2 linked regions of the Caenorhabditis elegans genome follow. The protein of the gene in region 2 interacts with the protein of the main gene of each other region in a pairwise test. Each region holds a gene or a part of one and is shown on either strand. Other genes may lie near its edges.

Region 1 (6,869 bases), 3.2 Mb from region 2:
AACACTATTGTTTATATCATGTTAGGAATTAATATTGCAATCAATCACTGATTTTTGATTACCTCTTTGATTTCTTTTCATTTTCATTCACCTGATTGGATTAATTACTTTTTTGTGACAATTTTAATTCGGATTTTACAACAAGTAAGTACAGATTTTTGCATTTTTTTAAAGTGTTACTACGTATTAAAAAAATGCTATACTGGATGAAAACCAAAATTTTTTAATTTTTTGACTAATTGATTATTCCTATTAATTTACATTAACAAACAATTAATTAACGTTATAAAAATCCAATTTTCAAAAATTCAATCTTGTTTTGTACTCCTCTCGGACTACGTAAAGCCGCCAAGTTAAAAAAGTTCGGAAAACATTCTATTTTGAATTTCATAGTATTAAAACTGGTTTATAAATGTTTTCGGAGCAACTCAAAATTGCAAATATGTTCCACTGACTGCATGTGTACTTCACGTGGACAATTTGCAATTTTCAATTTTTAAATATAAATTTTTGGTTGAAAAATCGATGAGTTAGCTGTATTTTAAATCTGAAAATCTCAGTGTTCCATGGAAAAAATTAAAAATTCTGTACTCCTCCTGGAAAATTAAACACATTTTTTTTCGATTTTATAAACTTTTTGAAAATCAAATAATTTAAATTAAAATTTTACCGACTCTGCGAGGACTAAATTTAAGTTTGTGCGTCTGCCGTGTACTCCTCTCGGACAAATTTCAAATTTTCAAAAAATCATTTTTCTGAAAACTTTCTCATAAATTCAAATTTTTATTCCTAGCTCTAAAAAAATAAAAATAAAAATCTATTGTATCAATTCCCAGACAGTTTCACACTTTCCCTGCGAAAAAAACCGATTCTTATCAGATATTGCCACGTCACCAAGCATTCCATATTCCCGACACACATGTTCCACTCGGCCGCCATTCTTATCGCCATTTCTTTTTTTTTTCGATTCTCTGTGTCTCTTAATCTTTCCATATACTTTTTTATCTATTCCTACCATCATCTTCATCAGAAACCGTCTTTACATTCAACTCGCCCCATAAATGCTTCATGCCTCTCCGGGCCCTGTAATTGTGCGGCAGGGGATTGGGAAAAACGCTTATAACTTTGCAGCCATAGGAGGCGCAAAAAAGTTGTCAATAGACAAATTGTAGAAAATAAAATTTCCTATATTTTGTTAGTTAACAACTTTTTGATAATTTTATTGGCTGAATTTATATACCAGTTTTTAAAAATTCTTCTTTTTGAATTTTCTCATATATTTTATTAACAAGTAAGGCCTTCTCAAAAACTTTTCAATTTTCTCACTTTCTCGATCTTCCCATTCCCCGGTATTGAATCTATGATCTCGAGTCCATTTTCTTTTCTTTAATATTTTTTATTCTTTATTGTTCTTGTTTTCTGTACCCCACCCATTTCTCGAGATGAACTCTTGCTGGGGTTGTCTCGTTTTATAAATTTATTTTCTCATTAAACCTTAAATTGTACTACCTTTCAATGTATTACCTTTTGGCTCTTAATGTTGAAAATAAATCAAATCAATCAAATCAAGGCCTTCTCAATTTGAATGTTATCAGAAATTTAACAAGAAATAATCTGTAAAAAATTAATTTTCTACAACTTATCAGTTGACAACTTTTTGTACCTTCTATCACTAAAAAGATATCAATTTTTCAAAAATTCTACATCCCTTTTTTTTCTTTTTTTGCAACTCTTTCTTGCACCTCATTTTGCTTCTAAATTTGATTTTAAAAAATATAGTTCATAATTTTCAGGTAATGGACGTTACAGCGACACCGCGACCACACTCCAAGTTTGTTTTTTTTTGTTTTTTTTTTTGAAAAAATAATTTGGAAAATTTTTTTTTTTTAAATTTTGAATTTCCAAAAATGTTTTATTACTTTTTAGATATATCTAGGAACTATATTTTGAAAATATTTTACAGAAAAATTTTTAAAAATTCTTATGGCAGTCTGATACAGCTTAAACTTTTTTTCTGAAATTTTGACTTTATACCGCAATATCTCAAAAACCAATTGAGCTACTAAACAGTTGTCAACTAAAAACTTGTAGTTAATTTATCTTTCTACATTTTCTTAGCTGACAACTTTTTTATACCTCTTATGACTATTGAAACAAATACTCTTAAAAAAACTGTAAAAATTCTGAAAATTTATAATTTAAAAATTCGAACACTGAAATCTAAAAAACCAATAAAGTTATCAAAAAATAGCAAACTAATAAAATGTAGTAAATAAACTTTCCTACAATTTGTCAGTTGACAACTTTTGATATTTTTCCCAGTTTTTGAAATATGAAGGTTTTGAGCGAACCAGTTTTTTTCGCATGTGCAAATGATGCTCTTGCTCCGAGAGCTTATAACTCTTCGAAAACTAAATATAGGATTAAATTGATAATATAGTAACATTTTCTGCATAATTTACTACATTTTAGTAGTTGACAACTTTTTCATATCTCAAACTTCAGCAGAGATATGATAATTTGAAAAAATCGAAAAAAAAAAATCAAAAATTTTTTTTTTCTCTCACAACTCAATCAATATAATTTTTCAGCACTCAGCGCCCAACACAGGCCTATTATGTGCCTAGGAAGTTGCTCGAGTGTGGTCGCGGCCCGCAATCAAAACCAACGACTATCGACAAAAATGAAAAGGTTGGAATTTAATGGCCTATATTTCTTTAACTTAAAAAACGTTTTTTAAACAAAATTTTGCCGACTTAAGATCACGGGGTTCTGGCCTTCCTCGTTGATTTTTTTCGCGCTCCATTGACAATCGCCTGCCGGACAACGCGTGGGAAAGTCGTGTACTCGACACGGACGAATACATTTAGTTTTACACTAAAAAAGAGTCGCGACGCGACACGCAACGCGCCGTAAATCTACCCCAGATATGGCCGAGCCAAAATGGCCTAGTTCGGCAAACTCTTCCATTTCAATTTATGAGGGAAGCCAGAAATCCGTGTTAAGATAAAATCAATAGATTTCATCAAAATTTACACCAAGAAAATCCGAAAAATTAGGCCCGCCCCTTTTTTCCAATTTCGAAAATGTTCGGCGAATTTCCTCCTTCCAAGTCACCTAAATTTTTGCAGCCAATTCAAACTTCTGCCCAACAGAAGCAGAAGCCCCGCCCACTTATGGATACCGTTATCTCGGCTCCGCCTTCTTCTCTCAAGGTATTATAATTTTTAATTAAAAAAAAATCTAATTTTTCGACCGTAAATATTTTTGTGCTTAAAAATCTACCAATAAAGGGGCGGGGCTTTCCTAGGCCACGCCCACAATTTTCAAGATTCGGATTCTCAACCGAAATTAATTTTTCCAGGAGAAGTCCCCCCAATCCAATCGTCAAACGAAATCAAACAAAAAATCGTCACCACCGCCACGTAAATCGCCAGTGATGACGTCATCATACCAAGTACAGTACCCAAATTCGCCGCGAGACCTTCATCTCGTATCGTCGACACCATCGTCACGCTCCTCGTCCTCAATGAGCTCAAACAATGGAATTGTGTCACCGACGTTGACCGTCTCATCGCCACGTATCGTCAAGGGCGGTCCACAGAAGTATTCGATGTCACGCCCGAACGCGTTTGCTCCGATGATTGCACAATCTGATGAGAAGGAGTGTATTTGTGATCGGAAAAATACACATGTAGTTTGTAAACGGTATGTATCTTTTGCCTCAACGGATTCCCCGAAGAAGCGGTTCCAAAAATTGATTTGCATTTCAACGCGTTCTTGCGAAAGGTCGAAATTTAATGCTAACCTTGGTTAACTGGGTAAAAACCAACGATATGAGAAAATGAAGGAGAGGTCACTCCCCGTGTGTGCCGACATCTCGCGGGTTCCGCGCGCCGCTGTGTTTAGCGTGCGAGTGGGAGGAGTTTGGCTAATTTTGATTGGAAGATTGGAAAAAATGTATTTCCCGACGAAAATTTATGAATATTATGTTAAATTATTGTTTTAATTCAGAAAATTTATGGAAACAGTTGAAAACTTAGGTTTTCCATCAATTTAAAAAATATTTTTGCTAAAAACGCTTCAAAAATGGGAATTTTCGATTAAATCTTGCAGTTTTTAATTAAAAACGGTTTAAATCAACATTAAATCTATAAAGAAATATGAAAAAACCACTCAAGTTAAGACTTTTTGCTTAATTTCCCCAATTTACCCCCAAACTCCTTCCAGTCACACGCTAAACACAGTGGTGGGCGGAACCCGCGAGATGTCGGCACACACGGGGAGTCATCTTCCTTTCAATTTCTACTCAATTTGGTTTATACCCAGTTAACCAAGGTTAGCATTAAGTTTCGACCTTTCCAAGAATGTGTTGAAATGCAAATTAATTTTTGGAACCGCTTCTTCGGGGAATCCGTTGAAGCAAAAACTCTGAAGCTTTTAAAACATAAGAAATTTCCAGATGTGGCTACGAATGTGTTGGCCGAGTGCAAGTGACATGCGGCAAGCATCCTCTGATCCTTGCGCTCAATGATCTCCGCGAATGCCCGAATCCCGTGTGCCATAGCGTTCAGCTGCTCGAGTGCGACGAGCTCGACGATCAGGATGTGCACGACGATGGTGTCGAGCAGCTGCTCGCCGAGCCGATTGAGAAAATCGATTTGCTGTCGTGAAAAATTCTAATTTTTAATTTTTACTAAAAGAAAAAACCCAAAAAAAAAATTGAAACCGCGCTCTATTGACAATAATTTTTAAATTTTTCCTGTAATTCTACTACTGACACCTGTTCATTCGGGTCCTCTCACACATTTCACCCCCTGAATTTTGCTGTACATTTGTCTTTGCTTCTCTACTCTTTTTCAAAAATTTATTAATTTTTTTCTAGCAATACAAAAAAAGAATAATAAATCAATTCGAAACATGAAAAAATGCTCAAAAATACGAAAGAGATCCCTAAAAAACAGGCAAAACAAACATTTAGTACTGAAATGGGAATTGGAAAATCGGGGGCATCAGATCTACGGAAGCTCCTCGCCGAGTTCAATCGATTTGGCACGTTGCTCGGCGATTTGTGCTTCCCACATTGAGGCATACGTGCCTTGTTGTGCAAGAAGCTCCTTGTGACTGAAAAATGACAAAAATTAGGGTATTTTTCCGCGAATCTGGATCCACCGATATCACATTTCCCGGAAATGGTGAGGTCTCTATGAATTTGTTTCTAACAAACTTAAATTCCCTATATTCCCTCAAATCGTGAGGTGTCATAAACCGGTCCATTTTTTTGGGCGGAGCCATTGTTTTCAGTTTTCGAGAATCTGTGTCCACCGGAAAAAACTTTGTGGAATTGTGGGCGGAGCCTGCAAATATAGGGAATCCAAAATCCGGTGGAAACGGATTCCCGAAAAGTTTAGGGTTTTTACTAAATTTTCCGTGTGAGGCCTCTCGGAATTTAAAATTCTGTAGAACTAAAATTCCGGAGAATTTCGCTTCGCAATTTAAGGGAATCTTGAAGCTGGTGGAAACGGATGGTGTCTATTATTGATTGATATTGATTTGGAGGCCTCACAAAAACGATTAAACCGGTAGAAACAAATTCACAAGGAAAAAGGGGATTTCGTAAGTCACTGGGAGTGTTAAAATTGGTAGAAACAGATTCCCGGAGAAAATAGGATCTAAAAAGTACATAAGTGCGCACCCTGAAATCGGTAGAAACAGATTCCCGACGGAAATGAGATCTCACGATTTGGAGTGAACTACAAGAACGGTGGAAAAAGATCTCGCAAGTTAGGGGGAATACTAAATCTGTTAGAAACAGGTTCCTGGGATCATAAAACCGATAGAAACAAAACCACGGAAGAAAATGGTTCTCCAAAGACACTGGGGAATCCCAAAATCAGTAGAACCAGATCTACGGGCAATAAACTCACTTTCCCCTCTCCAAAATGATGCCCTTATCAAGAACAAGAATAAGGTCAGCATTGACAACCGTGCTCAATCGATGAGCCACCACAACTCCGGTACGTGATTTGCAAAGCTTCTCCAAACACTTTTGAATCGCCCGTTCTGTCGGTGTATCCAACGCCGACGTGGCTTCATCCAAGAAAATGAACTGCGGCTTCTTGAGAATAGTTCTGGCAATTGCGACACGTTGCTTCTCCCCTCCACTAAGCTTCAGCCCACGTTCTCCAACCATTGTCGCGTATCCTTCAGGCAGTGAGGTAATCTTTTCATGAATCATTGCTGCCTTCGCCGCCTCAATAACCTCTTCATCTGAAGCATCCGGTCGTCCGAATCTGATATTATACATAATTGTGTCGTTGAAGAGTACAGTATCTTGTGGTACAATTCCAATTTGTTGCCGCAGTGAGTGCATTGTATAGTTTCGAACATCAATTCCATCGAATTCAATACTTCCTTCCGTAGATTCAAAAAGTCGGAATAGTAGTCGAATTAGTGTGCTTTTTCCGGATCCCGATGAGCCGACCTGCAAATTTATCGATTTTTGTATAGCATATAATGGGGGCGGGGCCGAAAATTATCAATTTTTCGAAGAAAACAAAGTGGTCGGGGCTAAACATTTCGATTTTTCAGCAAAAAATATGGGCGGAGCCAAAATATCGATTTTCGAAAAATATTGTGGGCGGAGCCAAATATGTTTTGTAAGAAAAAAATATGGGCGGAGCCCAAATATAGTTTTTTTCCGGGGAAAATTTAGGCGGGGCTAAAATATCGTTCTTTCAGGAAAAATGTGGGCGGAGCCAAAATATAGTTTTTCCGGGGAAAATGTAGGCAGAGCCAAAATATCGCTTTTCCGACAAAAATGGGCGGAGCCAAAACTTCAATGTTTCTAAAAAATGTGGGCGGAGCCA
Region 2 (10,473 bases):
TAAAAAAGAATAACAACATCAATGAGCAACCAGACGATGGAAGTGGCAATGACAGCACGACATACTGCCGAACGACCACCGCCCACACTCAGCATTCAATTACTCTGAAATTAGAGAATGATTAAAAATTCAGGGGAAAAAAGAAGATAAATTCCGATCAAAATTATTTAACAAGGCTAAATTTTCTTGAATAGTACTGGAAAATTGAAAACATGATAACTTTTGTGATAGAGAATACAAAAAAATGGTTTTAAAAATTCAAATAAAAATATTAATACGTGTCTATTTGAACACGTTTTATATCAAAACTAATAAACCGTGAACAAATTTTTTAAAATTTTTTAACAATTATTATTCCAACAAGCAAAATATACGAGAAGCACAAAAATAATTAAAAGACAATAAAACTGAAATTATCACAGAATTATGAAACTAGAAAGAATAAAAACTGAAGAGAAAAGTGGAAAACTGAGCAAATATTTTTGAATTTTCAGAGAAAGACTACTAATCGGCAAAACTGAGGAATTATGAAAATATACAATATTCAAAAATTAGAAAAAAATAAAGCACAAAATTGATTAGAAGCTTTGTAATGAAGACGGATCAGAAAATATTCAAATATTTCTGCCAACAATATTAATTGGTGTTGGAACAAAAGTAAGAAGTGACTGTGAATTGGGACTTGGAATTGGTGCATTTATTGGAAGAGCCAAACCACACGCGATGAGCCAGTCACCAATATCTCTACCACAACAAGATAAACGAGCTTCACAGGTTGGAACAGCTGGAGCATTTAATTGTTTCCATTGAGACCATCCAGGCTGAGTTGGTTCAACCTGAAATAATTAATTTGCATTTGAAAGTATTCTTTTCATGACTTACCACAACAGGTTCACCACATGCTGCTTCAAAGAATTCTCGAACAGCTTCATGTGACTCGCGGCTCCAAACTTCTCCTCCAGCAACTGGTTTGATTCCTCCGATTTTACACTTGAACATCAGCATTTTTTTGAATGGTGACGTGGAGTTGAGACGTCGCATTGCTTCTTTTCGCACGTATTGGAAAGCGCCCACATCCAGAAGATATACACAATAGGCTTGTTTGTCTGAAAAAAAAAGATGGACATTTCAAGGAAAAAAGGTATAATACTCAGCAAGATTGTAGATGTTTTGTTTTTTTTTTTGGGAAAAATGTGCGAAAAATTCAGATATACTGAGAAACTCACAATTGTTTTATTTACTTTTTCAAAAGTGCAATTTTGAACAGGATATTTAAATTTTTCCAAAATCACAGTTCAATATTACAAAACTATTTTTGCAATTTTTTTCAAAGTTACGGTATTCGGTCTCGACGCGACAAATTTATGTTGAATGAAAAGATGTGTGCGTCTTAAAGAGTACTGTAATTTCAAACATTTTTACGAAAAACTATAAAAATTCCAAAGTAACGAGATCTTTTGATTTACAGTACTTTTTAAAAGCGCACAGCCTCTTGTATTTAATGAAAATTTGTTGTGTCGAGAACTGGTACAGTAATTTTCGAAAATTTTTTTTTCAAAAATTTCCTGGTACAGTAAATAAAATAATAAATAAATATACCTACCAATTTTACTCGCACGAATACACTGAACACGTTCCCAACGATCATCGATAAAAGCCGCGTAGAATCTAAATTTTCAAATATTTAGCTTAAATTTTTTCAAATCAAAAAAAAAAGTCTCACCCTCCAAAATCAGGAGAACTTTCCAGTTGAGAATCAGGCAGAGCACATTCGTCTTTCAACTTTGCATACATATAATCGGGCATCGGGTCTAATGAAAGTTGCCGTAATGAGATGTCCGTGGGTCCTGCAGCGAAAATTGCATTTGCTGGGAACGCTGACATCGGCATTTGAGCAACGGTCATTGGTTGGATCTGAAAATGTTATTCTAAAATTTCTAAACATCAATAGAAGATATTTACCGTCGCAGGTTTGTCAAAAAGACATGTCAAACTGGATGTTGAAGCAGAAGCCGGAGTAATAGGTGAAGTTGTTTTTGTTGGAGTACTCAATCGAACAACTCCAGATGGTTTTTTAAGAAATTCGGTAATTGATAAGCCATCAGAACTTTGAAGATCTACAACTGGTAAAGATTCGGAGTCTGAGGAGTCAAACTTTGAAAGCTGAAAAAATATTCGTGAGATATTATACTTGTAAATAAATATTACTCACTGTTAGATTTATCGGAACCTGAATTCCATCATCTTTTGTCTCGAATGTTAAATCAACAAATTTATTATTCAACCTCAATGATTCTTCTTCACTGACATCCATACGAACTTCTCGAGCCATTGATCCGACTGAAAATTCATTGAAATTTTAAATTAAACGTGAAATTTATAAATTGATTTCTCATACTTTTTTATATTTTTTTTCTTGGTTAATACACGTTAGCAAAAAAGAAACAAAAATCAAAATTAGTATCACTTTTTGAAGATGTTCAGCGCTCTTTTTCTGTTAGCTCTAGTGGTTTTGGTGAGTTTTTAAATATTTTTTTCAATTATAATTTTTTTATAATCCGACATTTCTAGACCGTTAACGGGTTCGATAGGAAAGTACACAGTTTCGCTTCGGATGATGATTTGAGTATTGAGTGAGTTTGAGATACTTCCTTTTTTGAATTAACCTAACTGTTTTAGACATCTAAAAGATCATTACGGGAACAAGATTGAAATCGAAAAGCACACATCATCGAAAGATCGAAAGTTTTATTATTTTAAAGTTGGTGACACCAATCAGGATAATCATTTGGATGGTGTTGAACTCTTCAAAATGATAACGGAACACTCGGATGAGAAAACTAAAATGGATGTAGAGATGATTGAAGTACAAGCTGATCTAGTTCTCAGGTATTATTAAGACGCACAAAAAGGCGTCTTTATTAGAAATTGAAATGATAGAAATTGAAGTGGAAGCGCGCTACACTGCCAAATAAAAGTGCTCCGCCCACGACCCATAGGTCTCGTTAGGTATAATTTTCAAGCATTATACGCCTGTTTTGTTATGTTTTCCGTTAGCTTTATTGATTTTGAAGTTATAAAAAAACAATAATAAAAACAAATAACTGCTTAAAAATCGGCGAAATTAATTGAAAACGTTTTGCCGTCAAATACCTAACGAAATACGTGGATTGGGGGCGGAGCGTTGTCAATTGACCATACATCTCGTTTCCATGTCGATTACAAAAGGGCTCTCATCATCGATAATGATATTTCAAAAATATACATTTTCAGCGAACTCGATAAAAATGGAGATGGGATGATCAGTTTCAGCGAATATTCAAAGAAGTTCTCATAGACTCGAATATTGCTTTTTAATTTTACTCTATAAATTAACTTTCTACCTATTTTTGTGATTATTTTTAGATTTTAATAAAAATTTAAAAAAACTCACTTGACATTACTGGATGCACAGCAGGTGGTAAGAGTCTTATCGCCGCCACAGGGAATTTCTCACAGACGCCAACATCCACAAAATGGCACATGACTTGTCCGGATTGTGGTGGCTGCTTGGCAATTACACGAAACCATGTTCCATTCGAATCTTGAAGGGCATAAGCTCCACCAGCCACAATTTCCTGTAATTAATGAATACAGTTGTCTCATTTATGTAAAAGTACCAGGGCTGGGCATTTTTTGGATTTTTCGAACCAAAAAGGCAACAAAAAACCACTTTGGAACTCCAAACGTTTTTTGTAGATCTACAAAGTATATTTTACAAGTTTCGGGTTTTTTATAGTTTTTAATTCGTTATCCGAAATATTAGTTTTTGAATTCTTTTATTCATCTTTGTATGTTTATCAAAAAATATTTACGTTTTTTAATTGTTTCAACAACTTCAATTTTTTTCTTTTTTCGTCGGAAGCCAGTTGAGCACATGAACTTACATAAATTGCAACTCGACTATCGAGTGCCGATGGCGGAGTTTCTTGAGCATAAATCTCAGCGAGCGTAGTTCCAATTTTTTCATACTGATCGTCATCCGCGAGAGCTCGAATAAAGAATCTCTTTGGCGAATCTGCATAGACGATTGACACAGTTGATCCTTCTTTTAGAGCGACAGATTGTTGAGAAAGCTGAATATTAAATAAAATTGATCTTAAAAAATTGAATTTAAAAAACATACCGTTTTTGCATGCTCCGTTGGCTCATTCTCTTTTCTTTGTTTAATTTTTTTCAACTCATCCGCAGTTGGTTCTCGATCCGTGGAAATGACTGAATAAGTATTGAATGTTTAAATGTTTCAAAAAGAATACAAAATATTTTTAGAAAACATTTGGTGCAGAACAAAAAACAAATTACGAGTGAGTATATAATTACACAACGATTAGAACTCACTGAAATCGGAATTCAATTCCTCCATATTCGAATTAAGGTTAGAGAAGACAGAGGGGGCGTGGTGTTAATGCGAATTGGGCAAGCTGAAAGTAGGGATTAGATGAAGCATCAGCAGCAGGAGGCTTTGGATGATGGGATCAATTTCATGCAATGAAGGGATAGGCTAAGCAAAGAATAAAGGGGATTGGACAGTAAAGAGGTGATGTTAATTAAGTCGTTGAAATGTGAGTATATATTAGGTTGGGAATACTTATGACCGAGTAAATAAATAGAAGAATTGGCGGGAATTTTTAATTTAATCGTTTGTAATACTGTTTGAACAGGTTCCTTTGATTTAGCAATTATTTACTTCATCACTTTTGAAATAATCAGAATTAATTTCTAGTATATTTTTTTTGAAAAACGTGAACTTCATATTGTAGTAATTTTTTACAACAGTGGTTTGTCAAGGGACGTTTTCCTTTTTTTTTAACAATTTGTGTTTCAAAAAGCTATTGATGAGGTAAGAATTTTGTTTCGACGAATCTAAAATAGTCTTAAATTAAGAAATATCATTTAAAAAATCAAAAAAGAATGAAAAATTATACACACTTTTTAACCTATCAGACAGATTTTTCATTTCTTGTCGATTTTCATCATTTTTTCGTATTTCATGATTATTTTGAGTAATTTTAAGTAAACCCCTCATTTTCCGTTTTTTTTGCAGTTTACCCAATGAAATAATCGAATGGATTTTCTTGGGATCCATCCTGTTGCTCACACTTTTCTCAATAATTATGGGTGGTTATTTGACAATGCGGATTAGGAGGGTATTTTCTTTTTGAATTTATTCAGTTAATTCTAAATATTTTAGATGGGCGGATTCAATCTGAAAATTTCATACAGGCCACCGGATTCTGAAGCAGAAACTAAGAAGAAGAAAAAGCAAAAACTAATTATTTGATTTTTAAATATTTTTCGAATAAAAATAAATTAGTAATTTTACTAGTAACACTTCAAACTAATAATTTAGGTCGAGGGACAAAGAGACATAGAAAGGACAAGAAAAGGACAGTTATTCTGTATGTGTGTCCCCGTTTTCCGACAGCATGTTCACATAATTGTTATTTCTTTTCACTTTTTGAGTGTCTATTTAAATGTATTCAGAATGTATTCATTCACCTCGTACATTTACTGAATTTATGGGTGGTCTTTTGAACGATGATGTGTTTGAGAGACGGACGAACAGTATGGTGATGGGGCCGCGTGTCTGGAAATTGCTTTTTTTGGAATAATTTTTTAGTCTTTATTTCTCGAAAAGTAGCGGTTTTCATGAAAAATTACGATAATGGGTCTCGGGACGATTTGAAATTATTTGCGCTACAATATGTGAAGAGTACTGTAGTTATGACCATTGAAGTCGTTTTTTTTGTTTTTGTTTGTGTCGTACTCGTGTCGTACTCGTGAATGGCGCACACTCTTTTAAGTTTTCAATCGCGTCGAGACCGGGTACCGTAATTTAGGTGATATAATACTTTTGATAGCTTAGAATATACCTGAGCTTCAAACTCTTCTGCAGCAGTGACTTGCTGAATCCAATCTTCGGGAAGTTCACGTCCAAGTCCTTTTGAAACAAATCTGAAAACCAAAAAACTTTTGAATTTTCTAAAAAAAACAGTAATTACTATCAAGAGCGCCATCGAAAATTTTTCGCTTTTTCTAGAAAAATATCGACAAATCGAAAATTTATCAAAAATACATAGATTTTGATATTTTAATGATTAAAAAATAACATGTATTTTTTAGTGGTGAAACGATCCGGAATTATTAAAAATTTGATTTTTTTTTTCGATTTTTCTTTGAAAAAAACATTTTGAAAAATATCTACAAAAAAAACCTACTCCTCATGATATTTTTCCGAAAGATGAGTTGCTGCAACACCCATTGGAAAATTAGTTTTGATCATCTCATATAGAACTTCTCGAATCTCTTCCATTTCTTCCGAAACATCCATGTCCGAGTTAACTGAAACCATTATGATGATGAAATGTGACTTTTGAAAACAACAAAAAAAAAGTAGAAAATCGGAAAAATTTTCGGATTATTTTTGTTTTCTGTTTGAGTGTGTGAGAATTGTGATGTTTTTGTAGTCCGACAGAAAAATCAATTTTTCTGCCGGGAAAGAGAAAAACGAAAAAAATTTATTTAGCTTTTCAATACTTTGTTGATTTTTTCTTTGTGATTGTTAAAATAACAAAATTTTTGCCTATTTATTTTTAAAAAGATTTTTCATTTTGATTTTTCATAGTTTCTCGTTTTCCAAAATTTTCCAACTATTTTTTAATTTTTTTAGGTTTGCTTCAAATTAAAAAAAAATAGACCGTAATTGCCGAATAAGCCTGTTAAAAAATTTAAATTATTTTTCTAAATTTGTTTTTCTTTAATTTTTGGTTTGAAAAACTGATGACAACCTCCCATTTTTGGAAAATTGAACGAAAAAATCGAAAATTCAATGTTTATTAATTTTTTGTTGAAAATCCCTGACATTACTGACAACTTAAACGTTTTTTTTTTCTGAAAATTGAAAAATCTATTTTTAAAAATTCAGGAATTTTTTTTTAATTTTTAAACGTTTTCAATTAACATTTTTTAATAATTTCCTCTGCTGGAAAATGCTTTAAAATTTGTCATATTCACCAGTTTTATTTTTGTAAAATTGAAAAAATCATAAAATAATTTTTTTATCAGTCATATTCGGTCATTACTGTCCATTTTGTATGATTTATAGAAAAAAAAACTTACTTCGATCAAAAATGGTAGACGGCACCAAACCATTAACCGCCGACATGAATTTTGCAGACGAAGATGATGACGTGCCATCTGGCGGTGTTGTCATCTGAAAATTGAAAGAAATATGGAAATAGAGGTATTGCTTGGAGAGAATGCAGAATGCAGAGGCAAGAAATCGAAGCAGTAATTCGAGAAGGAGATGGGGTGAATCAAGTGGGGGATTAGATGGAAAAGAAGAAGAAAAAGGTGGTGAAGACTTGTCACACACTCATACTTTCTTTATGCAATGTGTATCTGGATTGAATTGTGAAACAATAGAACAATTTTATAAATTTTTTACAAAAAAATTGGTATTTTAGCGCCAAAAAATGCAAAAAAAAAATCCTTAGTGTACTTCAAACATTTTACATATTTTCCAAAATATTTTTTTGAGAAATATGTTTTTTAAATGACTTTTTTCTAACAAGTATTTATTTTTGATATATTTTTCAAAGGTTAATTTGCTAGAATAATTACAGTTAGAGCGCAAACTCAAAAATGTTCAAGTATCGAAATAAATCCAAATTTGACTTTTTTTGTTTCTCGAATTTTTCTTGTCTCAGCTTTGATTGTCAGTTAACTTTTCTTAAAAGAAAACAGTAAAAATAAATCAATATAAAAAATTGGGGAAAACACTCAAAAAGTTGAGTTTGTCTTGACGTGGAAATGAACGGAAGGCAAACATGGACACGGCCCTTGTTTGACACTTTCTTTCGCAATTTCTTCGCCTGACTGTTCATTGTGCATTAGAACAAAGGTCGAAGAGTTCATTGATCCAGATCTTTGGCGTTTTTTATTCGCAAAAATATAGAGAAGATTACTGATACTATAGGGTCAAAACCACTTCTATTTCAAAAAATTTAGAATTTAAACAAATCTTCAAAAGCCAAAAAAAAAAAAAAAAAAGAAATACATTTCCTGTGTACCAACTGAAATCACAACACCCTATTCCACGTGTGTGAAAGTTTAACTATAGACCAGGAAAAACTACATCGACACAGACTGTAAAAGGAAGGAATTATATATTCGGTTGCTTGTCTCGTTGTTCCCATTGTTCCAACGAGGAGAGGGAATAAAAAGTGGCAAGAAAGAATGAGATTTGTTATTATTTTATTATTCGAATGTGAAATGTAGGTGGATAAAATAAAAGTGGTGAAATTCAAATATATCTGAATAATTCAGAAAACTAATTTCTAATACCAAGCTGGTCCACTAATCAATGATAAGCAAATAAAGTGAACTGTTAAGACAATACGGACCGCATGGGAAAGTAAGCAAAGCAGAGCTATACTCAGAGAGACGCAGACACATATACAGAACACAGTACATGTAGATGGACACGTCGATTTTCTTTTCCGTTTTGCGCCAAATATTCATCGGATGAGAACGGGTGTTTAGAGGGGAAGACAACGGAAAATATCACAGGGATTTCGGAGGGAGAAGCATTGAAGAATATTGCAAAGAGCTTATGTTTGTACAGGCGGACAGAGACTATTGCAGTTGCATCAGTAGATACAGTGGAAACATTTTGAAATTAAAATCCACGTGGGAAATCTAACAAAAATTAGAAAATATAACTTTTTTCCACTTCCACGATTTTCAAGGAGGTGCATTTATTTTAGAATGGTCTCGCCACGCATTGCGAACTAACCTAACAAATTAAGGCGCGCCTTTAAGATTACTGATTTTGTTAGCAATTCTTTATCGATTTTTCTCGATTTCCAAACATAAAAATTGGATTTTTTCCGATTTTCGATATTTTCGGCTAATATATACAACTAAATCAAAAGAATATAATAAGAAAGAAACCGGCATTTTGTTGGCGATTCTAATCTAAATGTTCGTGCGATTAGGGAAAAGATGTTTTATGAATTTATTGCGTGTAAGAAAGCGGGTAGACAAGGTCGAACAATTTATAGAGGTTCTTCCCTCCGCCACGTTTGGAATTAGTTATGAGTGGAGGTCACTTTAAACTGGAATTGGTTATTTTGAAAAAGAATTATGGAAATCTCGAAAAAGTTAATAAATTCTTTTTCAGATTTTTTTAAAGTTAATAATGAGAAGTAATTGAAAATTGAATAAAGATTAAAATATGAATAATGAAAATCGAAAATCATTATTTCAAGAATTTCAGTAAGTATAAAAATTCAAATTATGAACTTATTTATCAAAAAAAAAAGGACCCGCAAATACATTAAACAATTTAGACACCTCGTCGATTAATGGATAGATCTTGATGTGGAGTTGTGACAGACATCGGACGAAAGTTTATTGCAATATTTTGAAGTTCAGGGCGAGTCTGTGGAATTTGACAGGAATCCTGAAACAAAATTTTTAGAACACAAGTATGACGTTGTAAATACCTTACCAATGAAATATTTTGATATGTGGGCGTTTGCACTTGTCGTGAGTGTGAAGTTCTGAAGTTTCAAAATTAAAATAATAAAAATCAGCTTACTATCAGAATTAAAAGTTTGATGTTTATCAATAATTCCAGAATGTTTTATGCTAAACTTTTCGGCACTTTTTTTGTAAACTCACAATTTTCTGACTAACACGATTGGCCGTTTGAATTTCAAGTTGGCGAACTTCATAACTTCTACTTCTGCTTCTCTCTCCCATTCGTGAACTCGATCTTTAGTTACCTCTGGCTGCAAAATGTTTTTTAACCTTTTCAATTCTCAAAGATAAAATAAATACTCCATCTCTACATATCAGAAAAATTTGTTTGAATGCTTCTCGGGCGGCTGTCTCTTTTTTGGGATCGTATTCCTTGAATAGCTGAAAATATATAAATTTTTAAAAAAATGTTTATATTGCTCCATACCGTAACTTCATCTTTCGGATGTCTTGTACTCAAATGAAAACGACCTTCTTCTTCAGTGTAAAATCCATCTTTTTTACAATGAAAACAACGGTAGGGGCGATATCTTAATGTTTGAAGTTTTATGAATGCTCAAAAATTTTATTTACATATTTAGTTAAATAATTTGAATTGAAATTCTTACTTTAAATGTGTGCAGAGAACGTGATATTCGAATCCCCTCCAAGTTTTAATAATCGCGTTGCAGTGACAACAATAAGGCAATGCTTTGTGTTCTAAAATGCAAATTTTAAATAGTTGAATTGAAAAAAATTAAACTCACGACTCAAAATATCATCTTTTTCATCCAGATATCGATCGCTCAGGTGTGTTGGATGTGCTTGCATTGTTATTGGAACAACAAAATTCGAACCTGACTAAGAAATGCATTTTTCTTTCGTTTTTTTTAGTGGAGTTGGGGAAAA

What was found. Proteins that work in one complex are often made in the same cells at the same time.
Region 1: the proteins of tag-250 (region 2) and W09D6.5 interact in a two-hybrid assay, tested with the Caenorhabditis elegans proteins (one large-scale study listed by BioGRID).

What each region holds. Positions count from the first base shown.
Region 1 is NC_003281.10:11,086,694-11,093,562, forward strand, and holds W09D6.5 (uncharacterized protein), read left to right. Parts: upstream 1-1,793; 5' UTR 1,794-1,796; coding exon 1,797-1,831; intron 1,832-2,591; coding exon 2,592-2,691; intron 2,692-3,131; coding exon 3,132-3,215; intron 3,216-3,364; coding exon 3,365-3,708; intron 3,709-3,718; exon of another isoform or gene 3,719-3,830; intron 3,831-4,316; exon of another isoform or gene 4,317-4,428; intron 4,429-4,462; coding exon 4,463-4,673; 3' UTR 4,674-4,929; downstream 4,930-6,869. Other genes in the region: hmt-1 (Heavy metal tolerance factor 1), read right to left, coding at 5,019-5,124, 5,928-6,484.
Region 2 is NC_003281.10:7,917,664-7,928,136, forward strand, and holds tag-250 (Putative protein tag-250), read right to left. Parts: upstream 7,259-10,473; 5' UTR 7,253-7,258; coding exon 7,159-7,252; intron 6,382-7,158; coding exon 6,258-6,381; intron 5,995-6,257; coding exon 5,913-5,994; intron 5,627-5,912; coding exon 5,539-5,626; intron 5,357-5,538; exon of another isoform or gene 5,321-5,356; coding exon of another isoform or gene 5,231-5,320; intron 5,187-5,230; coding exon of another isoform or gene 5,084-5,186; intron 4,880-5,083; coding exon of another isoform or gene 4,875-4,879; exon of another isoform or gene 4,844-4,874; intron 4,461-4,843; coding exon of another isoform or gene 4,390-4,460; exon of another isoform or gene 4,378-4,389; intron 4,255-4,377; coding exon 4,166-4,254; intron 4,116-4,165; coding exon 3,927-4,115; intron 3,618-3,926; coding exon 3,434-3,617; intron 3,428-3,433; exon of another isoform or gene 3,338-3,427; coding exon of another isoform or gene 3,274-3,337; intron 2,890-3,273; coding exon of another isoform or gene 2,680-2,889; intron 2,634-2,679; coding exon of another isoform or gene 2,572-2,633; intron 2,516-2,571; coding exon of another isoform or gene 2,477-2,515; exon of another isoform or gene 2,460-2,476; intron 2,341-2,459; coding exon 2,213-2,340; intron 2,164-2,212; coding exon 1,963-2,163; and 12 more. Other genes in the region: gly-3 (Polypeptide N-acetylgalactosaminyltransferase 3), read right to left, coding at 1-95; C29E4.14 (EF-hand domain-containing protein), read left to right, coding at 2,477-2,515, 2,572-2,633, 2,680-2,889, 3,274-3,337; C29E4.17 (Spiroplasma plectrovirus-related protein), read left to right, coding at 4,875-4,879, 5,084-5,186, 5,231-5,320; C29E4.13 (C2H2-type domain-containing protein), read right to left, coding at 9,389-9,505, 9,554-9,605, 9,727-9,836, 9,886-9,966, 10,013-10,115, 10,194-10,284, 10,332-10,425.